Linked DNA regions of Saccharomyces cerevisiae S288C. Changing the gene in region 1 together with any one later gene gives a genetic interaction. Each region holds a gene or a part of one and is shown in the gene's direction. Other genes may lie near its edges. The genes, in order: PRB1, LYS20, MCT1 and GLR1.

Region 1 (5,498 bases):
TCTTCAAAGAATGTTCTAGGTGTGCCAATTCTAGTTGTTTAGACAAGAACTTTGCAAACAAAGTGGAAATTTTGTCACCATCCAACAAATGAAATTTTGATCCTGAGTCGACATAGTAGAACACAACCCTGTCTGCGTCACCATCAAAGGAGCAATATAGCGAATCAAACGAGGATGGAGAAAGACCCTTGGGTAATCTCTGGTTAGTCTTCACATAATCCGCACCGCATTCAAAATTCAACAGTTCTGGAACATCGGACCTGTCGTTGATTACCTCAACTTGCTCCGCTGGCACGTCCCAATCTTCGGAGGCCAGTAGTTTTTTCAACTGTGGACCACCGATACCATTGGCTGTGTCTATGAACAATTTTGGGACAGACAGCCTCTTCTCCAGCTGATACGTGGCGAAGAGCTCGTTGAAGGCTCCTATAAAGAACGAATAGTAGTCCTGTTCTGTGGCAACTGGCGCTGTGTCTCCTTCCAGTTTCCGCCTGTTGGACAAATCAGTAATGTAATGCAATTGAGGCGTAGTGACACAGCCTAGGTCCAAAACTTGCGCGTGGAAGACGCTGGCCATGGAGGAAGTCAAGCAGCGCAGCAAGTATGGACTACTTTCCCTAGAGTCTCTCCCAACCACGATGTGAGGCACGACGGTTGTATTCAAATCAATCTTTTCGTGTTCAATCAGCTTGGCCAACTCAACACGAAATTCTTCAAAATTAGTGGCAAAAGAGGCCGCATTGGCCAACTGCATGGCATATGGCTCCCATGTGGCCAAAAGCATCGATCCGTCTGGTTCCACGATCTTGACCCCGTTGTCCTGGTATGGGTTGTGCGACGCCGTGATCATCACCCCCACATACTGACCCTGAAGCTTCAGCGACCTGAGAACCGCCAGTATACCAGTACTGAACATCACCGTATCCAAATTCTTGGCCAGCGTTCTGAATCCGGCCGTACCGTAACTGAACTGCACATTCTTTGTGCGGCACGTGTCATCGTAGAGTTTGCACAATTGCTCGTAATCAACCTTCATCGTCTCTAAGCTTACTGCTGACCTTTGCCTTGGTCCTTGTACTTGTCTCGATTGCTGAAACCATTAACGGTTTTTTGTTCTTACTTAATCTTTTTTTTCCCGACGACGCAAAATGTCAGAAAAGATATAAATAGAGCAACGTTTCCTGCTACATGAAACACGCTGGCATATAGAAGAACTTCAACGAGCGAGGCTCTCTGAACAATCTGCTAATCGTGCAAGTAAGGGTTCTCGTGACAGTTCACCGTGTATAAACAGATAAACAGATAAACAGTCAGATATGCTTAATTTTTAACTGTAGGCTGTGCCGACATGCCATTTTATGCGGCTCACTTCTAACAAAAGTGACCATGACGCACAAGCAAGCAAACAGCCAAGTAAGGAAGCAGACAGCTTCACAGCACACACACACCGTTGTGTACGAAAATCCTCTGCAGAAGAGTGTATATGCCACTCATCCACACTTCCGCAGCGCAGTACGTAATGCGGTATCGTGAAAGCGAAAAAAAAACTAACAGTAGATAAGACAGATAGACAGATAGAGATGGACGAGAAACAGGGGGGGAGAAAAGGGGAAAAGAGAAGGAAAGAAAGACTCATCTATCGCAGATAAGACAATCAACCCTCATGGCGCCTCCAACCACCATCCGCACTAGGGACCAAGCGCTCGCACCGTTAGCAACGCTTGACTCACAAACCAACTGCCGGCTGAAAGAGCTTGTGCAATGGGAGTGCCAATTCAAAGGAGCCGAATACGTCTGCTCGCCTTTTAAGAGGCTTTTTGAACACTGCATTGCACCCGACAAATCAGCCACTAACTACGAGGTCACGGACACATATACCAATAGTTAAAAATTACATATACTCTATATAGCACAGTAGTGTGATAAATAAAAAATTTTGCCAAGACTTTTTTAAACTGCACCCGACAGATCAGGTCTGTGCCTACTATGCACTTATGCCCGGGGTCCCGGGAGGAGAAAAAACGAGGGCTGGGAAATGTCCGTGGACTTTAAACGCTCCGGGTTAGCAGAGTAGCAGGGCTTTCGGCTTTGGAAATTTAGGTGACTTGTTGAAAAAGCAAAATTTGGGCTCAGTAATGCCACTGCAGTGGCTTATCACGCCAGGACTGCGGGAGTGGCGGGGGCAAACACACCCGCGATAAAGAGCGCGATGAATATAAAAGGGGGCCAATGTTACGTCCCGTTATATTGGAGTTCTTCCCATACAAACTTAAGAGTCCAATTAGCTTCATCGCCAATAAAAAAACAAACTAAACCTAATTCTAACAAGCAAAGATGAAGTTAGAAAATACTCTATTTACACTCGGTGCCCTAGGGAGCATCTCTGCTGCTTTGGTCATCCCAAATCTTGAAAATGCCGCCGACCACCACGAACTGATTAACAAGGAAGATCACCACGAGAGACCCAGAAAAGTGGAATTCACTAAGGACGATGATGAGGAGCCATCTGACTCTGAAGATAAAGAACATGGAAAGTTCCATAAGAAGGGCCGCAAGGGCCAAGACAAGGAGTCTCCGGAATTCAACGGTAAACGTGCAAGTGGCTCTCATGGGAGCGCCCACGAGGGAGGAAAGGGCATGAAGCCTAAGCATGAAAGTTCCAATGATGATGATAATGATGATAAGAAGAAGAAGCCTCACCATAAGGGTGGCTGCCACGAAAATAAGGTGGAGGAGAAGAAGATGAAAGGTAAGAAAGTCAAGGGCAAGAAGCACCACGAAAAGACGTTGGAGAAAGGGAGGCACCACAACAGGCTGGCTCCTCTCGTGTCCACTGCACAATTCAACCCAGACGCGATCTCCAAGATCATCCCCAACCGCTACATTATAGTCTTCAAGAGAGGTGCCCCTCAAGAAGAGATCGATTTCCACAAGGAAAACGTCCAGCAGGCACAACTTCAATCCGTAGAGAACTTATCTGCCGAAGACGCTTTCTTCATTTCTACTAAAGACACCTCCTTGTCCACCTCTGAGGCTGGCGGTATCCAGGACTCATTCAACATCGATAATCTTTTCTCCGGTTACATCGGTTACTTCACCCAAGAGATTGTCGACTTGATACGTCAAAACCCATTAGTAGACTTTGTTGAGAGAGACTCTATTGTCGAGGCTACAGAATTTGACACTCAAAATAGCGCCCCATGGGGGTTGGCCCGTATTTCCCACAGAGAGCGCCTCAACCTGGGGTCCTTCAACAAGTATCTCTACGATGATGATGCCGGTCGCGGTGTCACGTCCTATGTTATTGACACGGGTGTCAACATCAACCACAAGGACTTCGAAAAGAGAGCCATTTGGGGGAAAACCATCCCACTTAACGACGAAGATCTCGACGGTAACGGCCACGGTACCCACTGTGCCGGTACTATCGCTTCCAAACACTACGGTGTCGCTAAAAATGCCAACGTTGTTGCGGTGAAAGTCTTGAGATCAAACGGGTCTGGTACCATGTCTGATGTCGTCAAAGGTGTCGAATATGCCGCAAAGGCGCACCAAAAAGAAGCCCAAGAAAAGAAAAAGGGGTTCAAAGGTTCCACAGCCAATATGTCGCTTGGTGGTGGCAAGTCCCCAGCTTTGGACTTGGCTGTTAATGCAGCCGTTGAAGTCGGTATTCACTTTGCCGTGGCTGCTGGTAACGAAAACCAAGACGCTTGTAATACCTCCCCAGCTTCTGCTGACAAGGCCATCACCGTCGGAGCTTCCACGTTGAGCGATGACAGAGCCTACTTTTCCAACTGGGGTAAGTGTGTCGACGTTTTCGCCCCAGGTTTAAACATTTTGTCCACCTACATTGGAAGTGATGACGCCACCGCCACTTTATCGGGTACCTCAATGGCTTCCCCTCACGTTGCTGGTTTGTTGACCTACTTTTTGTCTTTGCAACCAGGTTCTGATAGTGAATTTTTCGAATTGGGCCAGGATTCTTTGACTCCTCAGCAATTGAAAAAGAAGCTAATTCATTACAGTACAAAGGACATTTTGTTCGATATCCCTGAAGACACTCCAAATGTTTTAATCTACAACGGTGGTGGTCAAGATTTGTCCGCTTTCTGGAATGATACCAAAAAGTCCCATTCATCTGGTTTCAAGCAAGAATTGAACATGGATGAATTCATTGGATCAAAGACCGATTTAATCTTTGATCAAGTGAGAGATATTCTTGATAAATTGAATATTATTTAATTCTTCATTTAGAAAAATTTCAGCTGCTTTTTTTTTTCTTTTTCTTTCCTTAGGCGTCTCGAGGTTACAAGTCGGAGTCCCTCTTCACTATCGTTTGTCCACTTTTTTTATATCCCCATTATTTTCAATCTGAATTTCATTTTTTTTTTTTAATTCATGAAATTTATATGTCCCACGTATTACTACATATTTGCGTTTTTAATTAAATAAATAACTGTTACTTTTATTATATCTTATTTGCAGATCACTTATCTGATCAAATGTTTTCGTTTTCGTGTGTGGTGACGATGTATTAGGTACGCGAAATAAACAAAACAAACAAACAAGGCCGCAACAATAACATCATCTAAAGACTTCCTTTGTGACCCGCTTCTCAACAGCGGGTGTAGAACTTATGGTATGGCCAGAAAGTAACGTTGAGTATAGATACAGAAGCAAGCAATTCAAAGGAAAAAGTAATAAAAAGTATATAAAAGCGCAAAAAATACAACAAGAAAGAATTTGTTTGATGCCAGCGGAAAACCAAAATACGGGTCAAGATAGAAGCTCCAACAGCATCAGTAAAAATGGCAACTCTCAGGTTGGATGTCACACTGTTCCTAATGAGGAACTGAACATCACTGTAGCTGTGCGATGCAGAGGAAGGAATGAAAGGGAAATTAGTATGAAAAGCTCCGTTGTGGTAAATGTTCCAGATATTACAGGTTCTAAAGAAATTTCCATTAACACGACGGGAGATACCGGTATAACTGCTCAAATGAATGCCAAGAGATACACAGTGGACAAAGTCTTCGGTCCCGGCGCTTCCCAGGATCTAATTTTTGATGAAGTGGCGGGCCCATTATTCCAGGATTTCATTAAAGGTTACAATTGCACCGTACTGGTATATGGTATGACGTCAACAGGTAAAACATATACAATGACGGGCGACGAAAAGTTATATAATGGTGAATTGAGCGATGCAGCAGGAATTATACCGAGGGTTCTTTTGAAGTTGTTTGACACATTGGAACTACAACAGAACGATTACGTAGTAAAATGTTCGTTCATTGAACTCTACAACGAAGAATTGAAGGACCTCTTGGACAGCAATAGCAACGGCTCTAGTAATACTGGCTTTGACGGCCAATTTATGAAAAAATTGAGGATTTTTGATTCAAGCACAGCAAATAATACCACTAGCAACAGTGCTAGTAGTTCCAGGAGTAATTCTAGGAACAGTTCTCCGAGGTCATTAAATGATCTAACACCTAAAG
Region 2 (4,969 bases), on another chromosome or scaffold:
TTTGGTATAAGCGGTATTAAAATTAGAGGAATTGTCAGCGGGAGACCTAAAAGGCAATATAAAGTCCATTTTTTGTGATAAATTAAGCCTTCTTGGTAGAGCTTTTTCATTTGTCTCAAGCACTCATCAGGGCTAGAAATTCCAGGGGGATAATACACGTGTAAGGGTTGAGTATCGACCTGTTCTGCCTTTACGGTATAATCTTTCAATGTGAGTCGAATCTCTTGGGTCTTATCTTTCTCTCCCTTAATTCTCTTCAATATATAGCTTTCACTTGGTATGGTTAACAGACTATTTTCTGACCAGGGTGTGCTATTTAACAGAGACTGCACCATGGACACTATTTTTTTATTATACGATTTAGGGGACTTTTTCAGTTTTCTCCAAAGCTTTGCTGATTTCTCAACGATCCACTTTTCTGCTTTTAATATTCTAGACTGACTATTAAAGAGATTATCGGTATGCTTATAGTAAATGAATGATTCTTTGTCCGTTATTGGTATCACAGTCACTTTAACAGGATCATGCAGATATTTTTGGAGTGAAGCCTTTTCAAGTTTTGTTGAATACGCCCTCATTCCGTAGAACAGTCGAGAAGTGGCAGTTATACTAGTTGGCGGTATAAATATTGAACGTATCATCTTTAATCTAAAATACACCGGATGAAGTTTTGGTATTGTGATAAAATGATTCTATCGATGAAGAGCAATGATATGGATACTGCTACGTTGAAAAGGAAAAATTTCATGGCTAACTAGTAACTGAAACTGTGCCAGATAGCACACCCTTTAGATACTATCTTGGCACAATGCCCGATGCTTACTCCCCGGCGGAGACAGCCGTCAAGTCCATCCATCCAAAAGTGGAGGAAAAACAAGAAAATAAAGCTATCGAACAAGGAGCGTTGAAGTAAGAAAAACAAACGAAGAACTGAATAAACACAGCCTGCTTCAAATTATGGAAGGAGCTGTTACACATGGTAATTTTCTTATTTTTTTTGATAGATGGTGGAAAGTGGTAGCGTGGAAGTTGCGGATTATCACGACGTTTTATGGGCTCTAAATCGGTATAAGCTCAACAAATGGTTGAGGGCCGAATAAACGAAAAATTATTAGACCATAATTGCTACCAGCTGAAAGATTATCTCATTATAATACGCTTGAAACCCTCTAAAATGTCATTCGTAGTTAAGTACACTTTTTTGATCTCTCCAAGGTTAGCCGCCCATATAAAAAACTCTAGGAACCAAATTTGGTATACTGCGTGCGCTTGAGATTCAGTTTTTGTGTAAATCGGTTGCTGCAAACTATTTATATTAATGTTACATCGATGCAAGATTTTAGCCATGTTCCTAGTTTCTTGTCTATGAGCGTTTACTCAACCGAGACTCTTGTTTGCTATTATCTCGATTCGACGAACAAACAGTTCCCTGGGTATTCGAACAAAGCACAGTTGGTGATTTTGTTTGAAACTACAGACGTGCTCTCTTTTACAAAATAAATTGTAGGAAGTGATCCGCACAGGCAGAGGGAATTACAGATCACGCTCCTCTCTTATGACTAATGCACTCAGCATTTTCTCTTCCTTATAAACTCCGTCCACAGTACCCGATCAGCTGGCTCATCGTTATTCTAAATTAACTGATGACTGATGTTACGTCTGCGTCAAATTCCGCCGGAATATTGCGTAGTTTTAGTAAGAAAAAAACAAATTCCGACGGGAACTCTCTGCAAGGAAGTTTAAGCGTGGGTTACTTTGCTAGGTTGAGAAAAAGAATTCTTTAGAGGATCACACGTAGTAAAAGAAAAAAAAGATCTCTTCGCGCCACTCCCGGTTTCTCTGTGGATACGGCGTTACTAGCGTTGCAAGTGGCAAAAAAATGAGTAATGTCACAATGGCCTGGCCTTGTCCCACTATCCCTTATTCATGGTTGAAAAATATGACCAAAATTGCTGGGGAATTTTCTCTTCGGTAGTGGACGACGACGACATTAGAGCAATAGGCAATAATTTAATTTGCGCTTTAGGTTCTTGCTGACGATGATGCGTGAGTAATATTATTACCAAGTTTTAAGGGCCTCATCGCTGGCCATTTTTTACACCTGCTTAAATACCCGATGATGATATATATAAATGATATTGGCTGCTTATCGATAAAGTGTATTTGATATGTTCCCGTTTAGTTTATTCTTGTTTCTTATCTACATAACAAACAAAGGAAGGACCCTGTATTGTTTTCCTAAAGATGACTGCTGCTAAACCAAATCCATATGCTGCCAAACCGGGCGACTATCTTTCTAATGTAAATAATTTCCAGTTAATCGATTCGACGCTGAGAGAAGGTGAACAATTTGCCAACGCATTCTTCGATACTGAAAAAAAGATCGAAATTGCTAGAGCCTTGGACGATTTCGGTGTGGACTACATCGAGTTAACCTCACCAGTAGCATCTGAACAATCAAGAAAGGACTGTGAAGCTATATGTAAACTAGGTTTAAAGGCCAAGATCCTTACACACATTCGTTGTCATATGGATGACGCCAAAGTCGCCGTAGAGACTGGTGTCGACGGTGTCGATGTCGTTATCGGCACCTCCAAATTTTTAAGACAATATTCCCACGGTAAGGATATGAACTACATCGCCAAGAGTGCTGTTGAAGTCATTGAATTTGTCAAATCCAAAGGTATTGAAATCAGATTTTCCTCTGAAGATTCCTTCAGAAGTGATCTCGTTGATCTTTTGAACATTTATAAAACCGTTGACAAGATCGGTGTAAATAGAGTCGGTATTGCCGACACAGTTGGATGTGCCAACCCAAGACAAGTATATGAACTGATCAGAACTTTGAAGAGTGTTGTTTCATGTGACATCGAATGCCATTTCCACAACGATACTGGTTGTGCCATTGCAAACGCCTACACTGCTTTGGAAGGTGGTGCCAGATTGATTGACGTCAGTGTACTGGGTATTGGTGAAAGAAACGGTATCACTCCTCTAGGTGGGCTCATGGCAAGAATGATTGTTGCCGCACCAGACTATGTCAAGTCCAAATACAAGTTGCACAAGATCAGAGACATTGAAAACCTGGTCGCTGATGCTGTGGAAGTTAACATTCCATTCAACAACCCTATCACCGGGTTCTGTGCATTCACACATAAAGCAGGTATCCATGCCAAGGCCATTTTGGCTAACCCATCTACCTACGAAATCTTGGACCCTCACGATTTCGGTATGAAGAGGTATATCCACTTCGCCAACAGACTAACTGGCTGGAACGCCATCAAAGCCAGAGTCGACCAGTTGAACTTGAACTTGACGGATGACCAAATCAAGGAAGTTACTGCTAAGATTAAGAAGCTGGGTGATGTCAGATCGCTGAATATCGATGATGTTGACTCTATCATCAAGAACTTCCACGCAGAGGTCAGCACTCCTCAAGTACTATCTGCAAAAAAGAACAAGAAGAATGACAGCGATGTACCGGAACTGGCCACCATCCCCGCCGCCAAGCGGACTAAGCCATCCGCCTAACGTTCCCAAACCATTACATTATGTTCTTTCACTTATTACATACGATATATAGCATCTACATCTACATATCTAAATGATGTTTTTTCCCATCTACTTTGTCCGATACGCATTAAAAGAAGAAGATTTACTCTCCCGTGATGCCGGGCCAATCAGACGCGCGCATTCGCGGCAGAATAAGGGGAGGCTGCTGCGGGTACCAAATATCCAGATATTCACAATTATGCCAATCAACTGTCTAGTTGCTGACACCCATCGTTTTCCACTGCAACGAGGTTTTGGGGCTAGAAAAGGCGTTAACAATCGTTAGAGAAGGAGGGGTTCATAACTTGACTTGTTGTATCTTGTTTAAAACTTTCTTTGAATTTGTTCGTGGTTGAATTTGTTTTTGCTATCCCAAAGGAGTGCATTTTACACGCATTACTACAGCACACTTTTATACAGTTCCACAATAGAATATGTTACCACGTTCAGCATTAGCACGCTCATTGCAATTACAGCGCGGTGTGGCCGCAAGGTTCTACTCTGAAGGTTCTACCGGCACCCCAAGAGGGTCAGGCTCAGAGGATTCGTTTGTTAAAAGGGAAAGGGCCACGGAAGACTTCTTCGTTAGGCAGCGTGAGAAGGAGCAACTACGCCATTTGAAAGAACAACTGGAAAAACAACGAAAGAAGATTGATTCTTTGGAAAATAAAATTGACTCGATGACCAAATAATCATGCGTTTCCGCAGAAGCTTTTTTTTTTTTTTTTTTAGAATATTCTTACTCTTTTATAGTCAAACAGCAGAAAAACTATATAATAATACATCACACTGAGCTTTTGCATTTTCGATAACTATCATTCTAGTTTTCCTCTGGTTTGAATTTTCCTCTTGTCTGTCTGACTAATGTCACTCATTATTTCCACTTCGCGCAAAGTTCGTCCCAATGCGGAAAGGCATAGAAAGATAGGAACAGTGTGGAACATGGAAAAGTTCCAAATAACGTCAATAGTCCATACTTAAGATACGAAATTTCAAAATTCCTTCTTTTTTGTTTCAACAAGCTTAGCCTAACACCAAGAATATACTTAGCATCTCTTCGCATTCAAAATTTCTCTTCCATTCTTTGACGTTTTAAATCATACCTCGTATTCTTTACACAAAAGAAAGATACCTGTGAAATATATCTGAATATGGTCCGATTAAATCATGCAGCATCATATTTTATGCCTATTTTCTGCTCCACAAGGCCTCACATAGTGATACTTTCTGCGCTGTTTAGTATTTCACTGTTTTCACTATTCTATGCGTCGTCCGAATTACTGCTACACCAGTATGATGATCCATTGATGTTCAAACCAAATTCGCAGGACTATTTCAGGACCTTTCTTTTGGGGCTTTTTTCACCATTTCTTTATTATTTCCTGAAGACCTTTCTATTCAATATAAATCAAAGGTT
Region 3 (4,744 bases), on another chromosome or scaffold:
TTATAAACTTCAGTCTTCTTTTTTGTGTTTGTTGGGGCCTCAATTCTCTACACATCCGACGTAGCCAGTGGGTATTTATATTCGAAAATGGTACATTTGATATGTTCAACTGCAGATCCCTTACTGATACGTCGGAAAACCGTATCACAATGAACTTCTGATCTGGGGACCTCACTTCCCCTCCCTGCGATCCGTTATGTGTGGGTAATAATGGTTCTGCGGACATAATTTTATCAATGTATGCTGCCTTTCACCTCTCTCTTTGCTTGGTTTATATCACAAGCGTCTTCTTTAATAACTCAAGGGACCCTAATACGCCGTTCTTTATATTCAACTCCGGGTAATGGAGATAGTATATATATATTTTTTTTTCCTCCCAGTGCAACTATAAAAAGAGATGAAGAATTTCTAAAGAGTACTACCTCGGTTTTACTTCTTGTATATTTACTCTTTTTATTTCAAATTTTAAAAAAAAACCATACAAAATTAATCGTGCGGATTAATAATCCAGGACTATAAAACCGTGTTGTTTATATCGAGTCTCTTTTGGTATAAGCGTCAAGTCCATCGGAGAGATCATCATTTTGTTCATCTTAATGCCCTTTTGTGTAGGAAATTGAGGGAAGTTTAGGCTTCTCAACATTTTAAGACGCCTATGCAAGGGCTGGTAGGACAGACATGCTATTCTTATTTTGACGTAGAAATAACGTAGTTAAGATTGAAGAGGAAAGAGGTATTCTATATACAATAAATATCAGTGTCCGTACTTCAGATCCCTGAAAAAGTTCATCATACCGGTAAAAACCACCAACATTAATGAACCACCGGGTGCTAGTCTACATACTTTGGGGACGAAACCTTTGTACAATGCTCTGAAGCCTTCTTCACGGTATATGACCAATAGCGAAGGTAGGCACCAGTTGTATTTTTTAACAGCACTGCTGACCGCGTCCACACTTTGGATTCTGGATTTCACCACGTCAAAGGGAGTGTTAAGCATGGTCCCGACCGTACCACCGATCGCACCTGCAATAAGGTCATTTCTGGTCTTTTGTCCCTTTGTCTTTGCTACGGGCATGGAATTTCTCACTTGGTAGATAACACCGAAGTAGCCACCATTCCAAAGAGCGTTTCTCCACATGGTAGATTCGATACCCTTGTATAGCCCCATAATACCTTCGTTTTTGATTGTTTTTTTCAAACAGTCCATTGGTCCAAGATAGCTGGACTTGACGTCTTGCATCCTGATTTTGATCAATTCAAATGGAACAATAACTGCAGCTTCTGTCATACCAGCAGATGCACCAGCCGCAATGGAGATCTTCTGCGTAGTTTCATTCGTGTTGAATAGGTTTTTGAAGATTTTTTGATATTGATCGTTACATGCAAATTTGGTGGCTCTCTTTGGTGCTTCCATCAACATTGGTGAACTAATACCTCTGTAAAGTCTGCTAAACCCTTCCTTCTTTACAATTTTTTTCAAACAATCGATGACACCATTATATCTCTCTACTTGCTTTCCTACTGCAGCGGCAGTAGGCGTCGTCACCTCCAGTTGAAATCTTGTCTTAACAACATCAAGCGGATACATAACAGTTAACTCAGAAATACCGGCGACGGCACCTGATATGAACTGATATATAAAAGGCAATGGCTTTGCGTTTGAGTCTGATGACATATTACTTTGATGCTACCTCGAATTACTTGACTATATAGAATCTAACCCAGTAAAAAAGTGCAGAAGAGCTTCAGACTGAAAAAACGAAGAGAACGTTTTATAACAGAATTACTTGCAAATGCATGTCGAGTCGAAAGTGATCGCGACTGCACTGAGTCATCAACAACAAGATCTTTCGAGATAGACAGGCAAAAAAAGCTCACCACGAAAAAACTGAAAAAAAAAAAGTTCCAGAGGAATTTGCCTGGCATAGAATAATAGCATTCGTAGTACCACTATTTCATGTTAGAAATGCACAAGCAATTGAATGTCAACGACAGAAGAGGACTAAGTAGTATGCAGAAGAACTAGAACTCCTATCTGAGAAGAACTAATTGGTCAACCATGTCTCATTGTCCTTACATTTGATAAATGCCGATCTTCTAAAACAGTAAACACACGTTAGCATCGCCTTGTGTTAACGAAGTAAAAAGGCTTGCTAAACCGAAAGTACACAATATGCTTGTCTTGAGAAAGTTGGAAGAAAATTATAGGCCCTTAAATATACTCAAAATGCAGAAAGTGTCATCTTCTTACATGGCATTTTTTGGCCGTATGACAAGGCGCATTTCAACCTCCGATGGAGGAAGTAAACTGAGTATCGAACTCAAGGGTAAAACAAAGCTTACCAGTAACTTGCTGCATATTAGAACTATTCAATAACGTACACTGAGGGTAGTAACAAAGCGTTTTGCACTTTTCTGATCGTGGTACACATATATAAGCGTTTGTATGAAGCTACTAACCTTCCCAGGTCAAGGGACCTCCATCTCCATTTCGATATTAAAAGCGATAATAAGAAACAAATCAAGAGAATTCCAAACAATACTGAGTCAGAACGGCAAGGAATCAAATGATCTATTGCAGTACATCTTCCAGAACCCTTCCAGCCCCGGAAGCATTGCAGTCTGCTCCAACCTTTTCTATCAATTGTACCAGATACTCTCGAATCCTTCTGATCCTCAAGATCAAGCACCAAAAAATATGACTAAGATCGATTCCCCCGACAAGAAAGACAATGAACAATGTTACCTTTTGGGTCACTCGCTAGGCGAGTTAACATGTCTGAGTGTTAATTCACTGTTTTCGTTAAAGGATCTTTTTGATATTGCTAATTTTAGAAATAAGTTAATGGTAACATCTACTGAAAAGTACTTAGTAGCCCACAATATCAACAGATCCAACAAATTTGAAATGTGGGCACTCTCTTCTCCGAGGGCCACAGATTTACCGCAAGAAGTGCAAAAACTACTAAATTCCCCTAATTTATTATCATCTTCACAAAATACCATTTCTGTAGCAAATGCAAATTCAGTAAAGCAATGTGTAGTCACCGGTCTGGTTGATGATTTAGAGTCCTTAAGAACAGAATTGAACTTAAGGTTCCCGCGTTTAAGAATTACAGAATTAACTAACCCATACAACATCCCCTTCCATAATAGCACTGTGTTGAGGCCCGTTCAGGAACCACTCTATGACTACATTTGGGATATATTAAAGAAAAACGGAACTCACACGTTGATGGAGTTGAACCATCCAATAATAGCTAACTTAGATGGTAATATATCTTACTATATTCATCATGCCCTAGATAGATTCGTTAAGTGTTCAAGCAGGACTGTGCAATTCACCATGTGTTATGATACCATAAACTCTGGAACCCCAGTGGAAATTGATAAGAGTATTTGCTTTGGCCCGGGCAATGTGATTTATAACCTTATTCGGAGAAATTGTCCCCAAGTGGACACTATAGAATACACCTCTTTAGCAACTATAGACGCTTATCACAAGGCGGCAGAGGAGAACAAAGATTGAGAAAGAGATCAAAACTGCGAACTCTCTCCACTCCCAGTCTGTGCTTCTACGCATTCATTGAAAATGGAAAGAGGACGAAAGTGTGCAAAAAATTAGCCAACTTCCCTTTATATAAATATCGTATACACATACATACATTCCTTCTATACTAATCGCTCTTGGATACACTAAAACAAATCCCTAATGCAAACATACATGTTATTATGCCATACAAAGTAAACACGCAAGTATATAAACGTATAAATGGATATATAGATATCTCTACGCATATTCTTTACATTATCATAGCATGAACCTTTTTCCCTTTTTCTGCTTTGTCTAATTTATAGTATTAGTTATGCTCTAGTGCTCTAATGGAAAAACTCGTTAACCGTTATGCTTGGACTTTTTGGAGGATTTGAGGCAGTAGCGTTTACATCATTTTCGGTACACGATGCAGCATTACTTCTAGTAGAAGTATCAATGGTCAATCCTAGTGGCTTAGAGGCGAAAAGGCATTTGGTGCCTGACGCTGACTTATCCTTATTTTCTAGTTGTGAAGGTAATGATGTCTGTGAACTTCTGTTCAATGAGAGGTTCGAAGTTGAAGAAGACGACCTAGAAAGCTTTGGTAGCGGTTCTTGGTAACTAAATGGCTTTGAATCCGTCGAAAGCTTCAACATTGTGGGCGATTCTAGAGATGATTTATCCGGAGATAATGAAGAGCCTCCCTTATTGAGGGATGAACTGTCTACTCCAGTGACTCCTGGATCTGTATTAATAGATAAGAGCGGTTTGTTGCGATGATCCTCCAAAAGTGCCAAGTTATTATCTTGCAACGAAACAGCATCATCCGTGGAACGAGATCGCGGATGTTGATTATTTAAAAGGGACTCAGTTACAAATAACTTCATCGGACCGCTATTCTCCTTAGCTAACAATTCCTGTAAGAACTTAAACACTTGCAGCGTGTCATCTTCATTATCAAATATGATTATAATTCTGTTTAAAAATGGCAACGGCGTGTAATACTGCAAGTGACTTTGTAAATTTGGAAATTGCTCCTTGAATAAAGTTTTTTCCAGTTGTGTAGGCCATTTACTAGTAAATTTGCCACTAGGAATGTCCGTGATTAGTATTTGAGTTCTCATTTGCTTTTGGTTTGCCATAATTCCCGATTTTCTAACGCTAATGTATCTTTTTTTGGTTTTTGATTGCTACCATTATATGCTT
Region 4 (5,094 bases), on another chromosome or scaffold:
TTGTATGTCACTGGATGTATACAAATAATTAAGCATGTGGAAAAAGAAGGGGTGGGATAGCGTCAAGATGACACTTCTACTTTTTTGTGACACATCATCATGCAACCTATCGAGTCTCCCACGAGGTTGACAAATAAGAAATTGTTATCGTTTTTGCAGTGTATCGTATAAGGCAACAATAGCGATGTCTCCCATCAATTGACTGATAAATTCCTGCAAACTATCATTTTTTTTTTTTCATCCTTGTGCCGCGTCTGTAGCCGAAAATCTGAGAGTGCATGAATCTTAAAAAACAGAAGACTCATCGCCGTCTTTGGCACATTGGGGTTGTCTTTGACTTCTTTTGCTTATTTTTGCTCACTTTGCTTATTTTACCTATTTAACTAGAGGTTCTAAAAGAATAGCCAACCAGCGTGTAGTTCTTATTTCTAATCCTTGTCTTGTTAAGTTGAAACTTGTGATATTGGCTGAACAAATTCTCCGCATTTAGACAACACACAAATTACAGCTTTCCCCTAGTAACGATTGTTGATTGAGCTCAGACAATACGCGCAATTTAAAAACGTTTTATAGTGTAAGAGAAGACAAGTACAAGAAAAAAATGGTTGCCAATTGGGTACTTGCTCTTACGAGGCAGTTTGACCCCTTCATGTTTATGATGGTCATGGGTGTCGGCATTTCATCGAATATTCTATATAGCTTCCCATATCCTGCAAGGTGGCTAAGAATATGCTCCTACATCATGTTTGCTATCGCTTGCCTTATTTTCATTGCTGTGCAGGCACTACAAATATTACATTTGATTGTCTATATTAAGGAGAAAAGCTTCAGAGAATATTTTAATGACTTTTTCAGAAATATGAAGCACAATTTATTTTGGGGTACTTATCCCATGGGGTTAGTTACAATTATAAATTTCTTAGGAGCACTCTCGAAAGCGAACACGACGAAGAGCCCCACTAATGCCAGAAATTTGATGATATTTGTTTACGTCTTGTGGTGGTATGATCTCGCAGTCTGTCTAGTAATAGCGTGGGGTATCTCGTTTCTCATCTGGCATGACTATTACCCTTTGGAAGGGATTGGGAATTATCCTTCATATAATATCAAAATGGCATCCGAAAACATGAAAAGTGTATTGCTACTGGATATCATTCCGCTGGTTGTCGTCGCTTCAAGTTGTGGAACATTCACAATGTCAGAAATATTCTTCCATGCGTTTAATAGAAACATTCAACTGATAACGTTGGTCATATGTGCCTTAACGTGGCTGCATGCCATTATCTTCGTCTTCATACTGATTGCGATATACTTCTGGAGTCTTTATATTAATAAGATACCACCAATGACACAGGTTTTCACCTTATTCCTGCTTTTGGGCCCGATGGGCCAAGGAAGTTTTGGAGTCTTATTGCTTACAGATAATATAAAAAAATATGCGGGCAAATATTACCCAACAGATAACATTACAAGAGAACAAGAGATATTGACTATTGCAGTTCCATGGTGTTTCAAAATTCTAGGCATGGTTTCTGCTATGGCATTGCTCGCTATGGGCTATTTTTTCACCGTGATTTCTGTCGTTTCAATCCTGTCGTACTACAATAAAAAAGAGATTGAAAACGAGACAGGAAAAGTGAAGAGAGTTTATACCTTCCACAAAGGTTTTTGGGGGATGACTTTCCCGATGGGTACTATGTCTTTAGGAAACGAAGAGTTATATGTGCAGTATAACCAGTACGTTCCCTTATATGCATTTAGAGTCCTAGGAACCATATACGGCGGTGTTTGCGTTTGTTGGTCAATTCTATGCCTTTTATGCACATTGCATGAGTATTCTAAAAAGATGCTGCATGCTGCCCGTAAATCTTCATTATTTTCAGAGTCAGGTACGGAAAAGACGACAGTTTCTCCGTATAACAGCATTGAAAGCGTGGAAGAATCAAACTCGGCTCTAGATTTTACGCGTTTAGCATAAAATTGTTGGTTTTATACGTACATAATTGGCAAGCATTTCATGTAGGAGTCTCAATAGATAGTTTAATTCATTTGCACGGCGCTTTGCTGCTTTTGCTTCTTCACGTTGGTTTTCACTATGCCTGATATTTTTTGACGTCACTTAGTAAGCACGACCCTTGTCAATTTTTCGAGGATTTCGGAGCTTTCCATTTGGAATCTACTATTAAAATCAGTCTAAAAAAGTATAAGAAACACTTCTGGTTTTTCTCATGCGCTTCTCACTCTCAGTATATTTTGCTGCTTTCCTTCATATGTATATATATCTATTTACATATTAGTTTACAGAACTTTATGCTTTCTGCAACCAAACAAACATTTAGAAGTCTACAGATAAGAACTATGTCCACGAACACCAAGCATTACGATTACCTCGTCATCGGGGGTGGCTCAGGGGGTGTTGCTTCCGCAAGAAGAGCTGCATCTTATGGTGCGAAGACATTACTAGTTGAAGCTAAGGCTCTTGGTGGTACCTGTGTTAACGTGGGTTGTGTTCCGAAGAAAGTCATGTGGTATGCTTCTGACCTCGCTACTAGAGTATCCCATGCAAATGAATATGGATTATATCAGAATCTTCCATTAGATAAAGAGCATTTGACTTTTAATTGGCCAGAATTTAAGCAGAAAAGGGATGCTTATGTCCATAGGTTGAACGGTATATACCAGAAGAATTTAGAAAAAGAAAAAGTGGATGTTGTATTTGGATGGGCTAGATTCAATAAGGACGGTAATGTTGAAGTTCAGAAAAGGGATAATACTACTGAAGTTTACTCCGCTAACCATATTTTAGTTGCGACCGGTGGAAAGGCTATTTTCCCCGAAAACATTCCAGGTTTCGAATTAGGTACTGATTCTGATGGGTTCTTTAGATTGGAAGAACAACCTAAGAAAGTTGTTGTTGTTGGCGCTGGTTATATTGGTATTGAGCTAGCAGGTGTGTTCCATGGGCTGGGATCCGAAACGCACTTGGTAATTAGAGGTGAAACTGTCTTGAGAAAATTTGATGAATGCATCCAGAACACTATTACTGACCATTACGTAAAGGAAGGCATCAACGTTCATAAACTATCCAAAATTGTTAAGGTGGAGAAAAATGTAGAAACTGACAAACTGAAAATACATATGAATGACTCAAAGTCCATCGATGACGTTGACGAATTAATTTGGACAATTGGACGTAAATCCCATCTAGGTATGGGTTCAGAAAATGTAGGTATAAAGCTGAACTCTCATGACCAAATAATTGCTGATGAATATCAGAACACCAATGTTCCAAACATTTATTCTCTAGGTGACGTTGTTGGAAAAGTTGAATTGACACCTGTCGCTATTGCAGCGGGCAGAAAGCTGTCTAATAGACTGTTTGGTCCAGAGAAATTCCGTAATGACAAACTAGATTACGAGAACGTCCCCAGCGTAATTTTCTCACATCCTGAAGCCGGTTCCATTGGTATTTCTGAGAAGGAAGCCATTGAAAAGTACGGTAAGGAGAATATAAAGGTCTACAATTCCAAATTTACCGCCATGTACTATGCTATGTTGAGTGAGAAATCACCCACAAGATATAAAATTGTTTGTGCGGGACCAAATGAAAAGGTTGTCGGTCTGCACATTGTTGGTGATTCCTCTGCAGAAATCTTGCAAGGGTTCGGTGTTGCTATAAAGATGGGTGCCACTAAGGCTGATTTCGATAATTGTGTTGCTATTCATCCGACTAGCGCAGAAGAATTGGTTACTATGAGATGAAGCAACGAAACTAGACGTCCAATCTGCTGTTGCTATACTGGACTTTTGTACTCTTGTAAACAATCTTATATAGCATCCTGAAATACGTAGTAATTTTGTCATTTCTGTTCAAGGACAAGGGTTCCTTTTTTTTTCAGACTATTAGCTACTGTGGACTCGCTTGGATATTCAGTTGAGGATACATTCCGACTCTCGTTTACAATACATATGATTATTTTTCTTTTTGTTAATTATATAAAAAATAAAGTTATTTGATTTTAAGCTTAAAAATACACAAAATACAGAATAAGAAAGGAGTTTTTGAACAAAAGAATTTATCTTTTACTGCTTTCTAACTTTAAGCCTTCAAAGAAGAAGCTCTTCTCTTTCTGATTTCAGCCTTCTCAGCCTTTCTTTCAGACAATCTCTTAGCCAACAATTGAGCGTATTCGGCAGCAGCTTCTCTTTGAGCTTGAGCGTTTCTGACCTTCAAAGCTCTTTGGTGTCTCTTTCTTTGCAATCTTTGAGGAGTAACCAATCTTTGGATCTTTGGAGCCTTGGTGTAAGTCTTTTCACCCTTGGTGACTTCTCTTCTGATGACGAAATCACGAACGTCATCTTCCTTGGACAAACCGAAGAACTTTCTGATGTTGTTAGCTCTCTTTGGACCCAATCTCTTTGGAACAGTAGTGTCAGTTAGACCTTCCAATTCTTGCTCACCCTTCTTGACAATGACCAAAGCCAAGACAGCCAAATCTGGACCAACAATGGCACCTCTGACGGACTTTCTCTTTCTTTCACCATCACGTCTTGGTCTGTAACAAGAAACGTTCTTGGTCAACAACAACTTGATTCTAGTTGGCAACAAAACACCTTGCTTCATTGGGAAACCTTGTTTGTCGTTACCACCAGAGATCTTGAAGACGTAACCCTTGAATTCGTCACCAACGGCTTCACCATCGACTTCTTGACCGATTCTCTTGTCGAAGAAAACACGAATACGGTGTTCATCATCAATTTCGAAGGTCTTTTGAGACCCGTTAACTGGGTAAGAAATGTTCAACTATTTTAAATTTTCAACAGGTTATTAAGAAAATTTGTTAGTATACTATTGCAAAATTAATGTTTGAATAGGGTGAAGTTTATTACTCTAGAGAAATTATTAAGTGGAAGATGAAAAAGCTTGTCTTTTATTGACTATACTCCAAGTATATGAACTGCTTCAATTTCACGGTTTGTAGTAACAGTATATGTAAACCCGCTCTGTTTGTTTAAAAATAACGCCACAAACGCATCAATTAGTATATGGTAGTCTTCCTGCTTCTTTCCATAAAAAATTTCTAAAATCTTTAC

What was found.
Region 2: mutations in PRB1 (region 1) and LYS20 together harm fitness more than expected from each alone (negative genetic interaction), as found in Saccharomyces cerevisiae (2 studies listed by BioGRID).
Region 3: mutations in PRB1 (region 1) and MCT1 together harm fitness more than expected from each alone (negative genetic interaction), as found in Saccharomyces cerevisiae (2 studies listed by BioGRID).
Region 4: mutations in PRB1 (region 1) and GLR1 together harm fitness more than expected from each alone (negative genetic interaction), as found in Saccharomyces cerevisiae (2 studies listed by BioGRID).

Annotation. Positions count from the first base shown.
Region 1 is NC_001137.3:38,790-44,287, reverse strand, and holds PRB1 (proteinase B), read left to right. Parts: upstream 1-2,334; coding exon 2,335-4,242; downstream 4,243-5,498. Other genes in the region: phosphoacetylglucosamine mutase PCM1, read right to left, coding at 1-1,036; HHY1 (Hhy1p), read right to left, coding at 1,328-1,636; SOM1 (Som1p), read left to right, coding at 1,664-1,888; kinesin motor protein CIN8, read left to right, coding at 4,751-5,498. UniProt on the Saccharomyces cerevisiae protein: Vacuolar proteinase B involved in protein degradation in the vacuole. Among other substrates, acts on carboxypeptidase Y (cpY/PRC1) to activate it by processing its Pro-peptide.
Region 2 is NC_001136.10:131,193-136,161, forward strand, and holds LYS20 (homocitrate synthase LYS20), read left to right. Parts: upstream 1-2,244; coding exon 2,245-3,531; downstream 3,532-4,969. Other genes in the region: MRX19 (Mrx19p), read right to left, coding at 1-641; INH1 (ATPase inhibitor), read left to right, coding at 3,987-4,244; AIT1 (Ait1p), read left to right, coding at 4,704-4,969. UniProt on the Saccharomyces cerevisiae protein: Catalyzes the aldol-type condensation of 2-oxoglutarate with acetyl-CoA to yield homocitrate. Carries out the first step of the alpha-aminoadipate (AAA) lysine biosynthesis pathway.
Region 3 is NC_001147.6:755,264-760,007, reverse strand, and holds MCT1 ([acyl-carrier-protein] S-malonyltransferase), read left to right. Parts: upstream 1-2,449; coding exon 2,450-3,532; downstream 3,533-4,744. Other genes in the region: DSC3 (Dsc3p), read right to left, coding at 1-226; ODC2 (mitochondrial 2-oxodicarboxylate carrier), read right to left, coding at 755-1,678; RCN2 (Rcn2p), read right to left, coding at 3,883-4,680. UniProt on the Saccharomyces cerevisiae protein: Involved in biosynthesis of fatty acids in mitochondria.
Region 4 is NC_001148.4:373,192-378,285, forward strand, and holds GLR1 (glutathione-disulfide reductase GLR1), read left to right. Parts: upstream 1-2,310; coding exon 2,311-3,762; downstream 3,763-5,094. Other genes in the region: SSU1 (Ssu1p), read left to right, coding at 602-1,978; 40S ribosomal protein eS6 RPS6A, read right to left, coding at 4,100-4,804. UniProt on the Saccharomyces cerevisiae protein: Catalyzes the reduction of glutathione disulfide (GSSG) to reduced glutathione (GSH). Constitutes the major mechanism to maintain a high GSH:GSSG ratio in the cytosol.